Linked DNA regions of Arabidopsis thaliana. The protein of the gene in region 2 purifies or fractionates together with the protein of the main gene of each other region. This does not show direct contact. Each region holds a gene or a part of one and is shown on either strand. Other genes may lie near its edges.

What was found. The genes of interacting proteins can lie anywhere in the genome.
Region 1: the proteins of SPDS1 (region 2) and AlaAT1 fractionate together in Arabidopsis thaliana (co-fractionation; one large-scale study listed by BioGRID). This does not show direct contact.
Region 3: the proteins of SPDS1 (region 2) and ALAAT2 fractionate together in Arabidopsis thaliana (co-fractionation; one large-scale study listed by BioGRID). This does not show direct contact.

What each region holds. Positions count from the first base shown.
Region 1 is NC_003070.9:5,920,719-5,926,927, reverse strand, and holds AlaAT1 (alanine aminotransferas), read right to left. Parts: upstream 4,597-6,209; 5' UTR 4,158-4,596; coding exon 3,936-4,157; intron 3,337-3,935; coding exon 3,286-3,336; intron 3,208-3,285; coding exon 3,157-3,207; intron 3,069-3,156; coding exon 3,003-3,068; intron 2,926-3,002; coding exon 2,864-2,925; intron 2,778-2,863; coding exon 2,699-2,777; intron 2,622-2,698; coding exon 2,517-2,621; intron 2,429-2,516; coding exon 2,318-2,428; intron 2,190-2,317; coding exon 2,052-2,189; intron 1,957-2,051; coding exon 1,761-1,956; intron 1,668-1,760; coding exon 1,513-1,667; intron 1,403-1,512; coding exon 1,328-1,402; intron 1,248-1,327; coding exon 1,044-1,247; intron 952-1,043; coding exon 835-951; 3' UTR 528-834; downstream 1-527. Other genes in the region: AT1G17300 (uncharacterized protein), read right to left, coding at 1-24; AT1G17285 (uncharacterized protein), read right to left, coding at 5,641-5,710, 5,816-6,209. UniProt on the Arabidopsis thaliana protein: Is the major alanine aminotransferase in roots that catalyzes the conversion of alanine to pyruvate. Involved in the rapid conversion of alanine to pyruvate during recovery from low-oxygen stress.
Region 2 is NC_003070.9:8,418,678-8,423,231, reverse strand, and holds SPDS1 (spermidine synthase), read right to left. Parts: upstream 2,823-4,554; coding exon 2,654-2,822; intron 2,561-2,653; coding exon 2,484-2,560; intron 2,393-2,483; coding exon 2,270-2,392; exon of another isoform or gene 1,615-2,269; coding exon 1,510-1,614; intron 1,414-1,509; coding exon 1,341-1,413; intron 1,242-1,340; coding exon 1,170-1,241; intron 1,065-1,169; coding exon 869-1,064; coding exon of another isoform or gene 865-868; intron 785-864; coding exon 661-784; intron 574-660; coding exon 508-573; downstream 1-507. Other genes in the region: AT1G23830 (uncharacterized protein), read left to right, coding at 1-229.
Region 3 is NC_003070.9:27,231,770-27,237,316, forward strand, and holds ALAAT2 (alanine aminotransferase 2), read left to right. Parts: upstream 1-1,705; 5' UTR 1,706-1,867; coding exon 1,868-2,080; intron 2,081-2,343; coding exon 2,344-2,394; intron 2,395-2,497; coding exon 2,498-2,548; intron 2,549-2,665; coding exon 2,666-2,731; intron 2,732-2,809; coding exon 2,810-2,871; intron 2,872-2,960; coding exon 2,961-3,039; intron 3,040-3,129; coding exon 3,130-3,273; intron 3,274-3,328; coding exon 3,329-3,439; intron 3,440-3,509; coding exon 3,510-3,647; intron 3,648-3,720; coding exon 3,721-3,916; intron 3,917-3,995; coding exon 3,996-4,150; intron 4,151-4,235; coding exon 4,236-4,310; intron 4,311-4,394; coding exon 4,395-4,598; intron 4,599-4,685; coding exon 4,686-4,802; 3' UTR 4,803-5,020; downstream 5,021-5,547. Other genes in the region: PUM23 (pumilio 23), read right to left, coding at 98-461, 558-811; AT1G72340 (NagB/RpiA/CoA transferase-like superfamily protein), read left to right, coding at 5,048-5,533.

The DNA.
Region 1 (6,209 bases), 2.5 Mb from region 2:
AGCCACTGAACAGTATCTCTTCATTGTGATTTCTCTTCTTGTAAATCCGTTAGGATTCTTGAAAGCTCGTATCTTATTCTTGTGACAGTAACTGAGACAATCTTGGATAGAGATATGAGTTAGATAACTAGAGACTTCTAAAGCGTGTTGCTTTATAGACCAAGATTTGTGTGTGTTTGAAGAAATAGTTATTGGGATCTAATTACGTGATCTTACTTTGACTGCTGCTATAATAATCAGATTTTGAGTCACTTACCTTATCATTTACTGATGATGATATTACTCAGCAGCATCTACATTATCATATGTACAGTACACATTACCTAACTCATGTGCATGCTTTGAAGTTTAAGAGATGGTGGCCATGTGAATAGAGAACGTGACTACTGTCTACATTTTACTAAGGGAATTTGGAGGTATTAGCGTAATTCTCCAATTTCAGAAAGAATAAATTGCAGGTAACAGCTGTTTTGTCTCTCAACTAATCACTACTTTTCTCCACAATCTTTAATCTTATGCAGTTATTTATATTTTCAAACGAAAATGATTCTGTGAAATCGAAACTTTGAACATGGAATTCAACAATGGTTCAATCTTGTGTTTTCTTGATGAGATTACATTTTGACTAACCGTTTATAAGAAACTCTCTCAATTTATATTACGGTTTTTCACTATAAAGAGAACAGAACAAAAAGTGAATAAGAAAGAGAGCACTAACTAATGCTCTCACATCTTAGCTTCTGTAAACACAAAGTCGATGAAAAAGAAACGGCATGGGACCTTTTTCTTATTATTACTCATATAATCTATAGAGGGATCTTGAAAACAGAATGCTTAGTCGCGGAACTCGTCCATGAAGCTCTGGTGGAACGCAGTTAGACGATCAACAATCGCTGGAATCTTATCCTCTTGGGGAAGTATAGTGCACCTGAAATGCCATGTTCCAGGTACCTACATCAAACCGAACAAAGACATAATCAATATCAGCAAGTGAGGTTTTAGTTTTGGTTCTTTGGAGAAAAAGCTATTTCTTTTTTTCAAACCTGTCTAAAGCCAGAACCAGGGACAACGACTATTCCAGTAGCTTTTAGAAGGCGTTTGCAGTAGAAATTGTCTGGTGCTGTCTTTTCCGCCTCAGCAGCTGCAATTGCCTTTTGTGGAAGGTGAAGGCAAGGGAATAGATACATAGCTCCTTCTGCTCTATTGCATGTAACTCCCTCTAGCTTGTTCAGAGCCTCTTCAAGAGTCTGCAAGGTTAGAGTTCAAACACTTTAAGAACAGAAAGTTCTAATCTTGAATATTCCTAGTTGTCTATTAAATGGCTAACCTTTGCACGTCTTGCCAAAGATGAGAGAATTCCATCCTTCTCTGCTATGTATGATTCATAGGAGTCGTCACCAGGCTGATCAAATTTAATAAAAGCTATTAAGGTCAATTATCGATGTGCAAGTCCAAGCCAACAGGTGGAAACTGAATCAATTGTGATGATAAAGTCATATAGATGTTTTATACCTTGGGTGGGCTCATGATGAGGCTAGCAAGAATTTGACCAGAGATGTTGGAACAAAGATTCACAGAAGCCATTTTGTATATCTGCTCTCTTACATCAGAAGTGAATCCAGTAACCTCCATGTAACCACCTCTTTTCCCACACTCTCCATAGTACCCTGTCAGAAATAATGAATTCAGTTTTCTGACTAGTTTCCCATCGCAATGATCAGAATTATCAATTGACTAAGAGATTTGTTTTTGTATCAAACCTTTGGAGACAGATTGGAAAGAGACTAAGGCAAGATCCTTCTCACCGTAGCCCATAGAGCGGGCTACTTTCTTGAAGGAATGGAACTTTTTGTCAGGGACATAGACATTCTCTTGATAAACCTCGTCTGCTAAAAGAACTAAACCCTCTTGCTTGCAGAACTTAACAACGTCACGCTGGTTTTCTTCCGAAAGAACCTTTTACCAGAACAAAGCAGAGGTCAAATTTAGACGAAACTATGAAATTCACATCGGTATAAATTTGTGAGTTTTAGTCTTGAAGATTAATTTACCTGCCCTGTCGGGTTTCCAGGGTTAATGACAGCCAAAGCTCTCACAGTGATGCCCTTTGACCTAGCATCTTCAAGTTGTTTCTTCAGCTCAGATATTTCAAGACCCCATCCTGATGCTTCATCAAGGTAGTATGGAACCTACCAGAAGAACATGACGACAATGAGAAGAAAGACAAAAGAAACTTTGGAGACAGATTCATTTTCCCATTTGATATAGTAATGCGTCAAAATGATATCATCATCATAAACAAAGATAACGAACATACCAAAGTTCCACCGTGAAGGGCAATTGAAGCTGAGTACAATGGATACTGAGGAATAGGACAAAGGATTCCATCTTTCTCTGAAGTTATGAGAAGTTGCATCATCATATGAACCTAGAAGGAGAGGAACATCACTGTCAACTTCAAAACAAGGTGTTCCAGATTCTACGAGTTACGAGAAGATTAGTTTGATAATCCTTACCCCTGGACTTGCACCATCTGTCATGAATATATCATTAGGATCAGCAGGGAAACCATCACGGGCTTCGATTCCATCAGCAATTGCATCACGTAACCCCTTGATACCCTGAGGAAGAACGGAAGATTAAGAGAGGGAATCATCATTGAGAGAGAAATGCTGTCAAGATTCACAATGCCACAAACCTGGCTGTGGCTGTAAGCACCAGTCGCTCTCCCGGGAATTTGGTCCAGAATCTTCCAAGCACGCTCAATCGAATCAGAACTGATAAAATTTGTAAAGTTGAATGTTAAAAAATCTTACACCACAGAATCAAAACAACTAAGAAACATATAAACCACTTTTGATACCTGAACAAACCGTGTGTTGCACTCTCATCCAACAGGGCTGTGTAGGAACATAAAGCAAGAACCTGAGATATAAATGTTACAAGCTAACTCATGATTAACATATGGAACAAACCAGCACTATAAAAGCTCACTTATTTACCTCTCTGAAGAATGTTATAGGCTGTTGACCAAGAGATTGAGGATTCCCGATATTACAGTAGATAATCTGCCAAAAACATAGAACCTTGTAAGCTTCACTCATGAAAAGAATCAAGCTTGAAAACACGAAAAGGACTAAACCGATTATAACGTACCTCATCAAAGGGATAAGCGTCCTTGTTAGTCTTCAAATCTTCTTGCAATTTCTGTAAGATGGAAACAGAAATCAAAATGAGCAAAACAGTCTCCACTAGAAATATACAATCAAGGACAAAGATGTTAACCTGAGCAATGTTGACAATTTCTCCACGGACAGCATACTCACATTTGATAACCTGAGAACCCCCAAAAAGAAACCATATTGTTAGAATAAAAAAAACCAAACAAAACATCAGTCACTAAAGCTAGATTTAAGATGCAGAACTGTTCCTCGACAATAAACTATTCAATTGTAAAGTATGAGCTAATCACAAGGAAGAACAAAAATGAAGAATTCAGAAAGCAACAGACTTTTTTAATATACGCAAAAAGCTGAAGAACAAAATGGATTCTAAATAGTCCTATAAACAAAGGATCACCTAGTAATATAATACGTAAAAGAAATAAATCCATCAAGGGTCAATGATCAAGATGCGGAGACGAGGATACGAATCATAATATGCATAAACTCGAAACATGATGCCCAAAAAGAACACAAGCAGGTGATCAATAAACCCTAAATCAAGTACAGAGCAATCTCGAAGAAATTAAACGAAGCTCTTCACTTTACCAAATCATAAATCACAAAATTTCATCGGAGTATAAAACAAAATCAAAGCTTGCAAAAAGACACAGATCAATCGAGGAAACATAATCCAAAACACAGAACACAAATCACTAACAAACAGCAACCCAAAAAGGCGAGAATAAAGGAAAAATTAAGAAAAAAACGGACCTTGGGGTTGATGGTGTCAAGAGTAACGGGAAGAGAGGAAGAGGAATCAGAAGCAGACATATCGGAAGAAGAAGAAGAAGACAAGTGGCGCGATGAAGAATCGGAAGGAGCAGAAAAAGGAGGAATAAGAGAGACAAAGCTGAGATTTTTGTGATGATGAAGTTGACGACGACGACTCTGATCTATGAGATTTTTAGCTTGGCCAATCACGAATCTCCGCATTTGTGATTGTGTGGTATGGGATTTATACTAAAAAGCTTGTTGGCTTGTTTCTCAATCTAAATTTAGATTTCGATAGTTTTGCTCGAAAGACGAAACTTCCCAATTCCTGTCTTCTCTCTCTCTCCAATTCACACTGATTTTGACATTTTTTTGTCCGTCCACGGATTTAGAATTTATCTTGTTTTCCTTTATTTTCAACGGATTTCTTTAAACCCTTTTCAACGAATATTGAATGTCTTTCTTTTTTTCTTTCTTACCAAATACTCTGTCAAAAGCCATCTATATATTTATCTTTTCAACGAAAAATCAATCTAAAAAAAGAATGTAATAAACGTAAATGAGATTTTTTTTTAATTTCAAACAAAGGAATGAGATTATTATTATTGTTTTGTTTTGTTTTGTGTGTTTTCAATCCATAATCCGTAATCTCGAGTCTTTTAGCCGTTTATGATATTTTCTTAGTCAAAAAATTTGTCTAAAGAGAGGTCGTAATAAATGAAGGTGGTTTTTTCTTCTTCTTTTTAATTTAGTTTGGTACTAATAATAATAATGAACAATTAATTGGAGATAAAGAACTTCTGGATCGTGGATTATTCAGACAAAACCATGTGTTTTATTGGTCGGAGTCGGCGCGTAAAACGCTGTTAGAAATTGGACAAAATTTGGCCATTATGGGCCGAGTTACGGTTTAGAGACTCTCTTCCGGCCCAACCGGTTCGTGGGAAAAATTCATCATATTATACATGGGATCAGCAAAACGACGTCATTTTGGCGGCGGTTTTCTCAGCGTTTCCTAATAACAGTAATATTATTATACATGGGATCAGCAAAACGACGTCATTTTTGAGTAATGTGTTGGATGCCACTTTGTTTCTTCTTGGTCCAAAAGTTTGTAAACAATCTCAACAATCTGTATCGGTGTTTTAGAGAAGTACAAACTTACATGTCAAAAGGAATCTAGTGCTCACAGCTGTGATTACTTCTTTCATTGTTGCTGTTTTGCAGTGAGGAGTAATCACTGGATATCGAGATAGGCAGCTAAATAGTCAGGATATTGTGAGGTTTCCTGCAGAACAACTTTCAATTTTTTACGGATCTGAGGATGCATTTTTGAAGCATATAGAACCGAGAACATAGATAAAGAGGTTGATCATTTTATATTTAAGGTTTTAAGCACCACTGAGAACAACATGCTATGGCTGAGGATAAGTCTGCTGAAGTCAAATAAAAGAAACCACAAAGCAGAGAAAAGAAGAAGAACTCAAAAGATTAAAGAGGTTGAGAATAGTTTTGGAAAGTTAGACTACTCGAGCTAGGAGGCGTTTTAAATTTTCATCCTATCTTGATCGATCAATAAGATTAAAAGATGAGTTCATATATTTCAAGTAGATTACAGCATTAAAAGCACACATGTCTAGGTACCTATTCTACAAAAAAAACGAAAGTAGAGGATCTAAATAAGGACAAAAAAAGAACTGGAATTTTAAGGTTTTCTTGATGTTGTGATCTGCTGTTGTTTCCTACTTGCTTTAACATCTACCGGTGGATTACACCTGATACAAAAAGAAACACTTTTTGATGTCAATTACACCTAAAACTCATCTTTGGGGATACATAAAAAAAAAGAAAAACTAGATTGTGTCTCGTATCTTCTTTACTTGTTCTGTATAGGGTTTGAGCCACTCCTTGGGATTCTTCTGAAGCTATCATTTTCTCCCTTAAGTGGCTCTTTCTTCATCTCCTTGCTTACAGGCAAATCTCTCACAGCTTGACTCGAATGTGTCATCGTTAACAGAGAACGTCCTTCTACACTATACTTGCTGCTAAAGAAAGCTACAAGTAACAGAACCAGAGCCACTGAACAGCATCTCTTCATTCTGAGTTCTCTTCTTGAAATTTCCTTTAGGACTCTTGAAACCTCTTGACTTTTTCTTGTTCTGTTTTTCTGTGAACTGAGAAAATCTTGGATGGAGATGTGTGTTAGAGAAAAGAGAGACGAGAGACTTCTAAAGCTTGTTGGTTTTATAGAATAAGATTTATGTGTGTTTGAAC
Region 2 (4,554 bases):
GTTGATGTTAATGTTCTTGGTCTTCGGTCTTGCGACAAGGATGCCATGTTTATACTCCAAATGCAGTGCGAGTGGAAATGGAGTGATGTACACTGGCTTCTATGTAGGCTTGATTTGTGTTGGCAATTTACTTAAATGGGTGACTTGTCTTGCCTGTTACCATGATTGTAAAACTATGGTTTTGAGAAAAAAGCGTGATGTAGAACAAGCTAAAACTCCTGCTGCTTAAGAGACTTTGGCTGAGATCAATTCAAAGTGTGAATCTTTATAATAAATGGTATAAAAGCAGAAAGGTTATTAGACTTCTCAGCTTCAACGCAAAAGCATAAGAACATGTTGTAAATAGGATTTGCTACTATGCGAATGTGTAATGCTAAAAGAAGACATAGTCGCTCTTGCATTGTGTTACAGAAACATGAGTGAAACAACAGAACATTCTAAAAACTGTAAAAAGCTTTTATTTTTTGATAAATTCAACGATCCTCCAGATTAGTTTTCTTTCCCTTTTCAATTGGCTTTTGACTCAATGACCTTCTTGGCGAAAGAAGGCAAGCAGAATGCAGCTGAATGAATCTGAAACCCCCAAGAAATGAGAGCATAAGCTAATGATTCGAGTGTGTAGACCGCATGAAATGGTATACTGAGAGATTTTTATCTTACCTCGGCATTGTAAAACTTCAAAGGTCCATTTGATTTGCTGGAGCTCTCGTCAATTGGGTTCAGTGGGTGTTTGAAGTCAACATCAGGTCCTTCAGTTGAACAAAGCATAAATCCAATGACCCCACTGAAAATAAGAAAAGTGTGATTCAGGTTAAGTTATAATCACCCAAAAAGGAGAGAGATTGATGTTAAAGGTCATTAAACATGCCTGGGGTATGTTGGAACGCTGGTCCAAGCATAGTTCACAGAACCCTTGAAGATCTCACGGCAGTTGGAAACAATGTCTTCGATGATGTCCATGTGAAGCCACAAGCTTTCAGCTTGAGTGCACACAACTCCACCAGGACGAAGAGCTCTAGCCACAGATTGGAAGAAGGGTTTCTCAAACAGCTCCTTTGCAGGACCTGACAGACAATAAGTAAAGGCTGCTTTTTAGTATTGTTCAACATAACAGTAAGGAATAATGTTGTTTCTGATGACATCTGATGACATCTGATTGTAGTAGTTACCGATTGGATCTGAAGAGTCAACAATAACTGCATCGTATGATCCTTCAGCAGCATTCTTCAAGAAAGCAACACCTGCAACGATTCACCAACCGATCAGTTTGAAACGGCAAAATGTGTTCAACATAACTACATAATGTTTCAGAAAGAGAGAAAAAAGCGGCAGTATTGTACCATCGCCAATGACAAGGTTCACGCGAGGATCCTCATATCCAATTGCTACATCAGGGAAAAATTGCTTAGACACCTGAAAATTACCAGTAGGTGGAAACAAATTAGATAACAAGGTATTTATCTATCGAAATAGAGAAGAAGGAAAGGTGAAAAGTAAGTGACCACTCACGTCGACCACCATTTTATCAATTTCACACATGTCAATCTGCTCAATAGAAGCATGGCGTGCAACTTCCCGCAGGACACCTCCATCTCCTCCTCCAATGACCAAAACCTATGGAAGAACTAGAAAGGCATTGATCAGATACACTCTGGCTTATAGCTTTACTAGCTAAAAGCAAAAACAGCATTTTTAGCTGACCCACTTTACCATAACCCAAAATAGTTAGACTACCCAATTCTGATACTTGGGAGCAAAAGCAATTCTGAATGTAAGAAGCTTGATTATCTAACCTTTTCTGAACCAAGTCCCCCAATAACAAGCTAAAGACTAATCATTTAAGCCCATTGAAATAAGTTTCTTCCGAATCATTATTATAACCCAATAAAGTTACTTGAGTTCTCTAACTTTGCCAGAAGGGAACATGGGACTATGTACCTTTTTTTCTCAGGAGGCCATCAAAGTTTGTACATATAAAAAGCAAAAAATGGTGATCATGAACCTTTTCTCTAGTGGACATTCCTATCACCACCCTGGAATGTAATCATTAATGCCAACTCAAGTAGTTTCTATATACACATCTAATAAAAGGAACTCTGGTTTCTCTATTTCTCCATAACTAATGATTTCATCATCCTACTTTACCGGAGAAGAAAAATGCAAACTTCAAGAAAGACCTTTCATTACATTCCAAAGCTATAAACTTTTGATTACCCACAACACAACACAATCAAGGTCACAGAATCTAGCAAAAGGATTGATTGTATACCTTCTTAGGGTTAGGGATAGAACACAAAGGAAGATGAGTGATCATTTCCTGATAAGCACATTCATCTCTCTCCGTAAGTTGGATTACTCCATCCAAAACCAAAACTTTTCCATATGTTGCAGACTAACCAACACATAAAAAACAAGTCTTTATAAGTATAATCACAGACAAATAAGTTAGGAAAAAACAGAGAAATGATTCTTATTTTTGTTACCTGGAAAACAATAACATCCTGATAATCTGATTTCCCTTGAAACAAAACTTTCTCAACCTTCAATGAGTGTGCCTCTCCTGCATCATCAAACCAATGAAAAAAAAAATCAGCTTTTTAATTTAAGAACCCAGAATTTGTTTTTTGAGAGAGAGAGAGGAAGGAAACAAGACCTGGCCACATAGGACTCATTTCAGAGAACCACCCAGGAATAACAGTGGAGAAACAAGCAGGTTCCTTTTTCTGATCTCCGTTCTCCGTCTCCATGGTAGCGGCGCCGCCGTTATCATCCTCTTCTCTCGGTCTTTTCAAATCGGTGGCAGAGGTTTCTTTAGCGTCCATGGTTATTGCTCTGGTGAATATCTCCGAGAAATGAGAGAGAGGAGGAACTAGGGTTTGTGAGAGGTGGTGATTTTGGTGTGAAGTGAAGCGGAAGATATAAGGAAGAGAAGAGCGTACAACTGAAAATATCATTTCATTTTTTTATTCACTTTTTTTTCAACGTAGCGAAATTATTATGTGATGATAATTCTACTTTTGCCTCGAATATATCGTTTCTTTAACTTTTGGGTCCTTTTTAATGGTTTTTTAAAGAGAAACTTTTTGGCTTTTTATGTCTGGTTTTTTATTCGTGTCTTTAATGCTCACTCGCTTTTTAGCACACGCGCTTTCTCACGTGCAAAATTCTCATACTGTACCACCACCAAACATGGACGGACTAGACTAGAGAATGTTATTTCCATGTTCTCTCAATTGGTTTAGTTACCAATTCCAAACTCTATAATCTATTTTTGTTTTAACTTTATTTGTTGTAAGTAATCTTGTGTAAATTAGTTTTTAACAATATGAAACTTTGTACAGTGATAATAAGATTTGGTACAGCTCCTAGTAGAGGAAGCAATTGGTTCATATGTAGTATTAGCTAAATCTTGGCTCTTGTGGGTTCAAAGCTCAATCAAAGCACATAGGTGCTTATGTTTTGTCAGTCTACAAGGAACTTCTTTTGTTATCATCAGATGCAGCCCGTTGCTCAATATTGGGATGTAGGACTCTCTGAGTCTCAGCTGGAAAGGAAGGCATTTAAACGAAGAAGCAGATTCTCGTGATCTTTGATGAGTTCCTTCGTTCTAGAAATGTCACTAGCGACATACACTCTACAAAAAGAGACCTTAGTAACATCAGGATCAGTTCACGTAGTGTGTTTGTTCTGTGGATTGGTACTTATGAAATGATGAGCATGCCAAACATAACAAGAGAGAAAACAACTCATATCTATATATGGACGCGAACGTCAGTAAAGAGCTTTAAAAACACGTCATACTTGGCAGGTTCATCATGAAATGCTTCCTTCACAGCATTGATGTATGTAACCGCATCCGCATCATCGATAGTAGAATCCGGTGTTTGTATGTAAAGAGCTTTATTATCGATTTGTGTTTGTATTGAGCAGATAATTAGTAAAATCTTAGCATTAGCTTTTACACTGCAGTCTTCTGGTTTTTTTAGTTGCAAAAGTATATAATTGGTAAAATCTGTGAAAATGAAATTTAAAAGCTTTCTATAAATTAAAGACATATGATGAGAAAGTTTTATGATTAGAATGCAGATATTTGTATTAATTTAGTCCAAATCTTGTTTTAAAAAATATACAAAACATATTTAAATTAGAGATATAAATATTGAATTTAATTTTTTTCTATAAAATCTTATTATCAATTTCGTAATTCATATAAGGTTTACTTAAATTAGAAAATATATTTGTTATTAGAATTACTTGACTTTGTTTGTTTTGCTCTGTATTTTTTGGCCAGGCGTAAGTTTGGGCTCTCTTCCTCTCTGTTTTTGTTTCTAGCTGAACTCTGTTTTTTTAGTGTTTCCCCTCTCAGTTTCTTATGCAAACACGACCCAAAAAATATCTACACGGCCCAAATCTCATGTCTTCTTGGTAACGAGGAAATATTTATTTAGTGAAAAAACATTTGATATCAAAGAAACCTCAACAAAAGAAACTATACACTCTCTTTTAGTCTCTTATACGCCAATTCATTGTACAATATACCTCAACATAGAAGCA
Region 3 (5,547 bases), about 19 Mb from region 2:
ATTTCACCATCAAAATTGAGGTCAATTACTAGACTAGAAGCAATAATCTGGATACCTTAATATGATTGTCAAAGCCAGTAAAAATTGTATAAAGTACCTTGCATATAGAATGCAAAGCCTCCTCAATAACAGAATAGGCGTCTGGATTTTCTAGATGTGTGGCCAAGGATTTGAGAGCAGACTCTGCGACATGAGAACCAGATCTATCCATTGCAATGGCTGGGAACACACTAGCAGAATTTCGTATGAAACTGCAGAGTTGGTCAAGTTCACATCCCTCAAGTAGAGTTTGCAAGACATGACTTATGATATAGTCTGTAGCAATTTCATACTCCCTCCCTCTTGTTTCTTCAAGGGCATTTCCACATATTACTGAACGTTCCTCTAATTCAACTTCATTACTATCAAAGAGATTGGCAATCTCAGAGAAATACTTTGAAGTCTCTGGATCAATCTCTTTCCTGAAAAAGATACACCCAAATCACTACCACTTCTCACAACAACAAAATTTCGACTATAAATTAGAGCAAAGGCCCTTGGTTAAAAATCTCCTTTACCTGACAAATTGATTCTGATGTTCGAATTCGGAGTGTTTCTTTGATGCTGGCTTTACATTGGGGGCACCACCGGATTGGTTCTTCTTGCTGCTATCTACATCAAATCCACGGTTACCCTTATGGTCCTTCCTACGCATTCCCTTATTCCTTTCACTGTGATTGTTACTAGACTTTCCTCGTTCACCCATCAAGCTATCTTCCTCAATGGTCCTGTGCCTCCTAGATGGCAATGATTTAGAACCAACAGAAACCATGAAAATTCCTAGCCCCAACTATGTTAAACCCTACAAAATTTACACACAAAAAAACTCAGCTTCGAAGAACTATTAGTCCCAAATTACACAATATAACAAAAAAGGGAAAGGTTCAATTTTTTCTCCAAATTTACAGACCCCAAAAATTAGGGTTTCTACCTCTACTTCAAAACGATACCATAACTGGGTTGAATAACCTAAAACATAACAATAAATTCCGAGTCCCAATTCTAAGACTTTACACTAATCCATGTGAAGCTTGTACAAAAGAACAGAAACAATAAGGTGTATCACAAACCTTTGAGGATGCAAAAACACAGTTGACGTTAGAGGAGAAACGAACAAGCGTGAGCTCAGACTAAGAACGCGGCGCAGAGACAAAACGACGTCGTCTCCGAAACTCTTGGTATACGTTGGATCAAAATCTTCGATGTTTTGACGTTGTACAAATTTTCTAATTCCTAGGGTTTTATTCTCGTCCAACCTAATACGATATCGTTTTGTTGACGTGGATATAAACAAATAATGGGCTTTAAATCACGATTTTACCGACCTTTTTAGGGCCCAATTATGTAGCCCAAAAAAAACCTCATCGTTAGCAATGTGCTGCTACATGTTGTTGTGATTTATTTAAATTTAGAGATTTCTAAAAATTTATAACTTTCAAATTAGCTGTAGGTTTTATAAGTATCTATTTATCCCCAAATTAGATTACGACTGTGATTGGATTATTCAATTTTGGTCCTTTTGGATAATTAAGTCAACGGAAGATAGACTTCAGACATCTTTTTTTGATAAAAGACATGTCTTTTTTTGGGATTAGTCGTGTGTTTAACAGATAAATCAACAAAATTAGCCGCCTAAAAAAAACCCCTACAAATATCTTCATCAATTAGATTTTCGAAAAGAAAAAACGAAAAAGCAATTTCTGAGCGTGGAGGACAAGGCAAAATTCGGTGTGCAAGGCACTGGATATTGGGACCCTTGTTTCCTCGTGAGAGAATTTTCAATCCTAGGGCTTAAAGAGCACGTTCCTAGTATAAAGCTGATTCACAGATGCGGAGATTCTTGATTAACCAAGCTAAAGGTCTCGTCGACCATTCTCGTCGTCAACATCACCACAAAAGTCCAAGCTTTCTCTCTCCTCAACCTCGTCCCCTTGCTTCTTCTCCTCCTGCTCTGTCTCGTTTCTTCTCTTCTACTTCGGAGATGTCTGCTTCTGATTCCACTTCTTCTCTTCCCGTTACTCTTGACTCCATCAATCCCAAGGTCGGTTTCTAATTCTCTAGCTGGTTTATTGCGTTTTTGAATTGTGGGTTTCAGGGTTGATCTGGATTTGTTTCTAATTTAGTAAAAAAGTTTCAATTTTTTACTGTGGTTGTCTGATTTAACGCCAAAGGTTTATCCTTTGCTTCTCGTTGTGATTCCCAACGATGAAATCGACAAGCTTTGCATAACTTCTTTGTACTTTATATTACAGAGAAGTTGGTTTTATTGTTAACTAAGAGTTTTTTTTCTTTTCCGGGGAACAGGTTCTGAAATGTGAGTATGCTGTTCGAGGAGAAATTGTCAACATTGCTCAGGTCAGAGATGCATGTGCTTTGTCTTGTAAAACCAAGAACAAAATCTGTAAAATTGTTTTTAATGCTAATTGATTTTTGTTTGCTTTTTGCTTCCATCTTACAGAAGTTACAAGAAGACTTGAAGACTAATAAGGATGCTTATCCCTTTGATGAGGTAAAATCTCTTTCTTTATCGGCAGTTTTGACGGATTTATGATTAGTTTAGTGTTGATGTTACCTGTTCTCAAACTCTTTGTGCAAGGAACTTAGAATTCTTCATTACTTTTGGCAGATAATCTATTGCAACATTGGGAATCCTCAATCTCTTGGTCAGCTGCCTATAAAGTTCTTCCGTGAGGTAAGTGAATGTTTTTGGTACTAGTTTGGTTGTCATATCAGCCACAGAGATATAACGTCTATCATCTATATGCCTCAGGTTCTCGCATTGTGTGACCACGCAAGTCTTTTGGATGAGTCTGAAACCCATGGTTTGTTCAGGTGAGGTTTTCCTTGCTATATTTCAGCTTTAGGACATGTATGCTCACGGTTTAAGATTGCTTAACATTTGATTTCTACTCTGCTATCAGTACCGATTCAATTGACCGAGCATGGAGGATTTTGGACCATATTCCCGGAAGAGCAACTGGGGCTTACAGTCATAGCCAGGTTTGTTATTAGAGTCTAGTTAAAAGTCCTAAACCCTTTCTTGAGATGGTTCTTATGTTGCTGAATGTTTCATTTTTTGTTCTGCCTCAGGGTATCAAGGGTTTACGTGATGTAATTGCAGCTGGAATCGAAGCACGTGATGGTTTCCCTGCTGATCCAAATGATATTTTCTTGACTGATGGTGCAAGTCCAGCGGTAACAATCAAAACGAAAACGTTATCTCATAGAGTTAGAGTAAGTTCTTTTAAAGGATTCATGCTAAGTGTTTTTGGTGTTTTTTACTCTATAGGTTCACATGATGATGCAACTTCTCTTGAGCTCAGAGAAAGATGGTATTCTTTCCCCGATTCCTCAGTATCCATTGTACTCGGCTTCAATTGCCCTTCATGGTGGATCTTTGGTATGTTCATATAATCATCATGGAGTAATGTTGTTTTTTGGTACAAGTTTTTGAAATTTGTACTTCTTAGGTTCCGTACTATCTTGATGAAGCAACAGGATGGGGACTGGAAATATCTGACCTTAAGAAGCAACTAGAGGAAGCTAGGTCCAAGGGCATCTCTGTAAGGGCCTTGGTTGTCATAAACCCCGGTAACCCAACTGGGCAGGTACAAACAGATTTTCAAGACTAGCCTAACAAAATGTAACATTCTTCTAATCTTGCGTTCTTATTCTGGTTAGGTTCTTGCGGAAGAAAACCAGCGTGACATTGTTAATTTCTGCAAGCAAGAGGGTTTGGTTCTTTTAGCTGATGAAGTCTACCAAGAAAATGTTTACGTCCCTGACAAAAAGTTCCATTCTTTCAAGAAAGTGGCTCGGTCTTTGGGCTATGGAGAAAAAGATATCTCGTTAGTCTCGTTCCAATCAGTCTCCAAAGGTAAAAGAACAACTTTTACTGTCCAATGCTTGTCATCTAAAAAATGGGGTTTTTGTTTTTAATATTCTTCTGTTGATAGGATATTATGGAGAATGTGGAAAAAGAGGAGGTTACATGGAGGTTACTGGATTCACTTCTGATGTAAGAGAACAGATATACAAAATGGCTTCTGTGAATCTTTGTTCTAACATCTCTGGTCAAATTCTTGCTAGCCTTGTCATGAGCCCACCCAAGGTAACACCCTAGTTCTCTCTAATCGGTTTTCGCTAAGTTCTTGCAACAGATTATGACTAAAAAGTCTAATATTGTATTTGATCAGCCTGGTGATGACTCATATGACTCATACATGGCAGAAAGAGATGGAATTCTCTCATCCATGGCTAAACGTGCAAAGGTTAGTCGAAGATTACAATACCCTCTAACGACATTTTTCAGTCTCTTTGTATATAATGTCACAAGCTTGAAAATGAACTTGCAGACTTTGGAAGACGCTCTCAACAGTTTAGAAGGTGTTACATGTAACAGAGCCGAAGGAGCAATGTATCTCTTCCCGCGAATTAACCTTCCTCAAAAGGCTATCGAAGCTGCTGAGGCTGAAAAAACTGCACCAGATGCGTTCTACTGCAAACGCCTTCTCAATGCTACTGGTGTAGTTGTAGTCCCTGGTTCTGGCTTTGGACAGGTAAAATATAACCAAATCTTCATAACTTTAAATGTCTTACAAAAGGATCGAACTTGAATAATGGGTTTTGGATTCATTGTGGTTTAGGTTCCTGGAACATGGCACTTTAGATGCACAATACTTCCACAAGAAGACAAGATTCCAGCGATAGTGAATCGTCTGACAGAGTTCCACAAGAGCTTCATGGACGAGTTCCGCAACTAAAAGGACCTGACCATGAAGATGAACTTAAAGACCCTTTTGAAGAAAAGTGTGATCAGTTTGAGTTATTAAAAAAAAGAAAACTTGTGTTTTGAATTTGATCAGGCAATTGTGATCAGCTAATTTAATTTTAGAATATTTTGTACTTCCATTCCATGGCATGTCATATGAAGATATGAAAATTAGTAAATTTATTGGGCTTATAAATGGGCCTTATATTATTAATGGGCCTTATATTTATTTTTCATATGATATTTCTGGAGAAAGCGACAGTATATTATCTTCAATTTTTCCATTTTGAAGAATTTTCTCAAGAAAAAAAAAAATCAATGTGGAGAAGATCACCGTCGTTTATTCTCGACGAGCGACGAAGCTCGAATTCACCTCCAATGGCGGATACAACACGAGGTCCTTTTCAAAACCCTGATTCCATCTCCGCTTATTACCAAACTCGCGCGGCGCATCACGGTGTCATTACAAGCGACTGGCTAGCCCAAGCTCAAGCCGCCGTTGGCGGCGTCTCAGGCGATGCCCAGCATGACTTATCCGTAACTGATCTCGGGAACGAGAAGTCGTTTAATGTAATTGAAGAGTTCAATAACTGGAGAAAACAACCGGATCTGGCTGAAGCCGTCGCGGCTATACGAGCTTTGGCTGCTGTTATTCGTGCGAGCGAAGCGAGCACCATGATGGAGCTTGAAATTGAGCTCAAAAAGGCTTCTGATACACTCAAGGTGAGAATTCATTT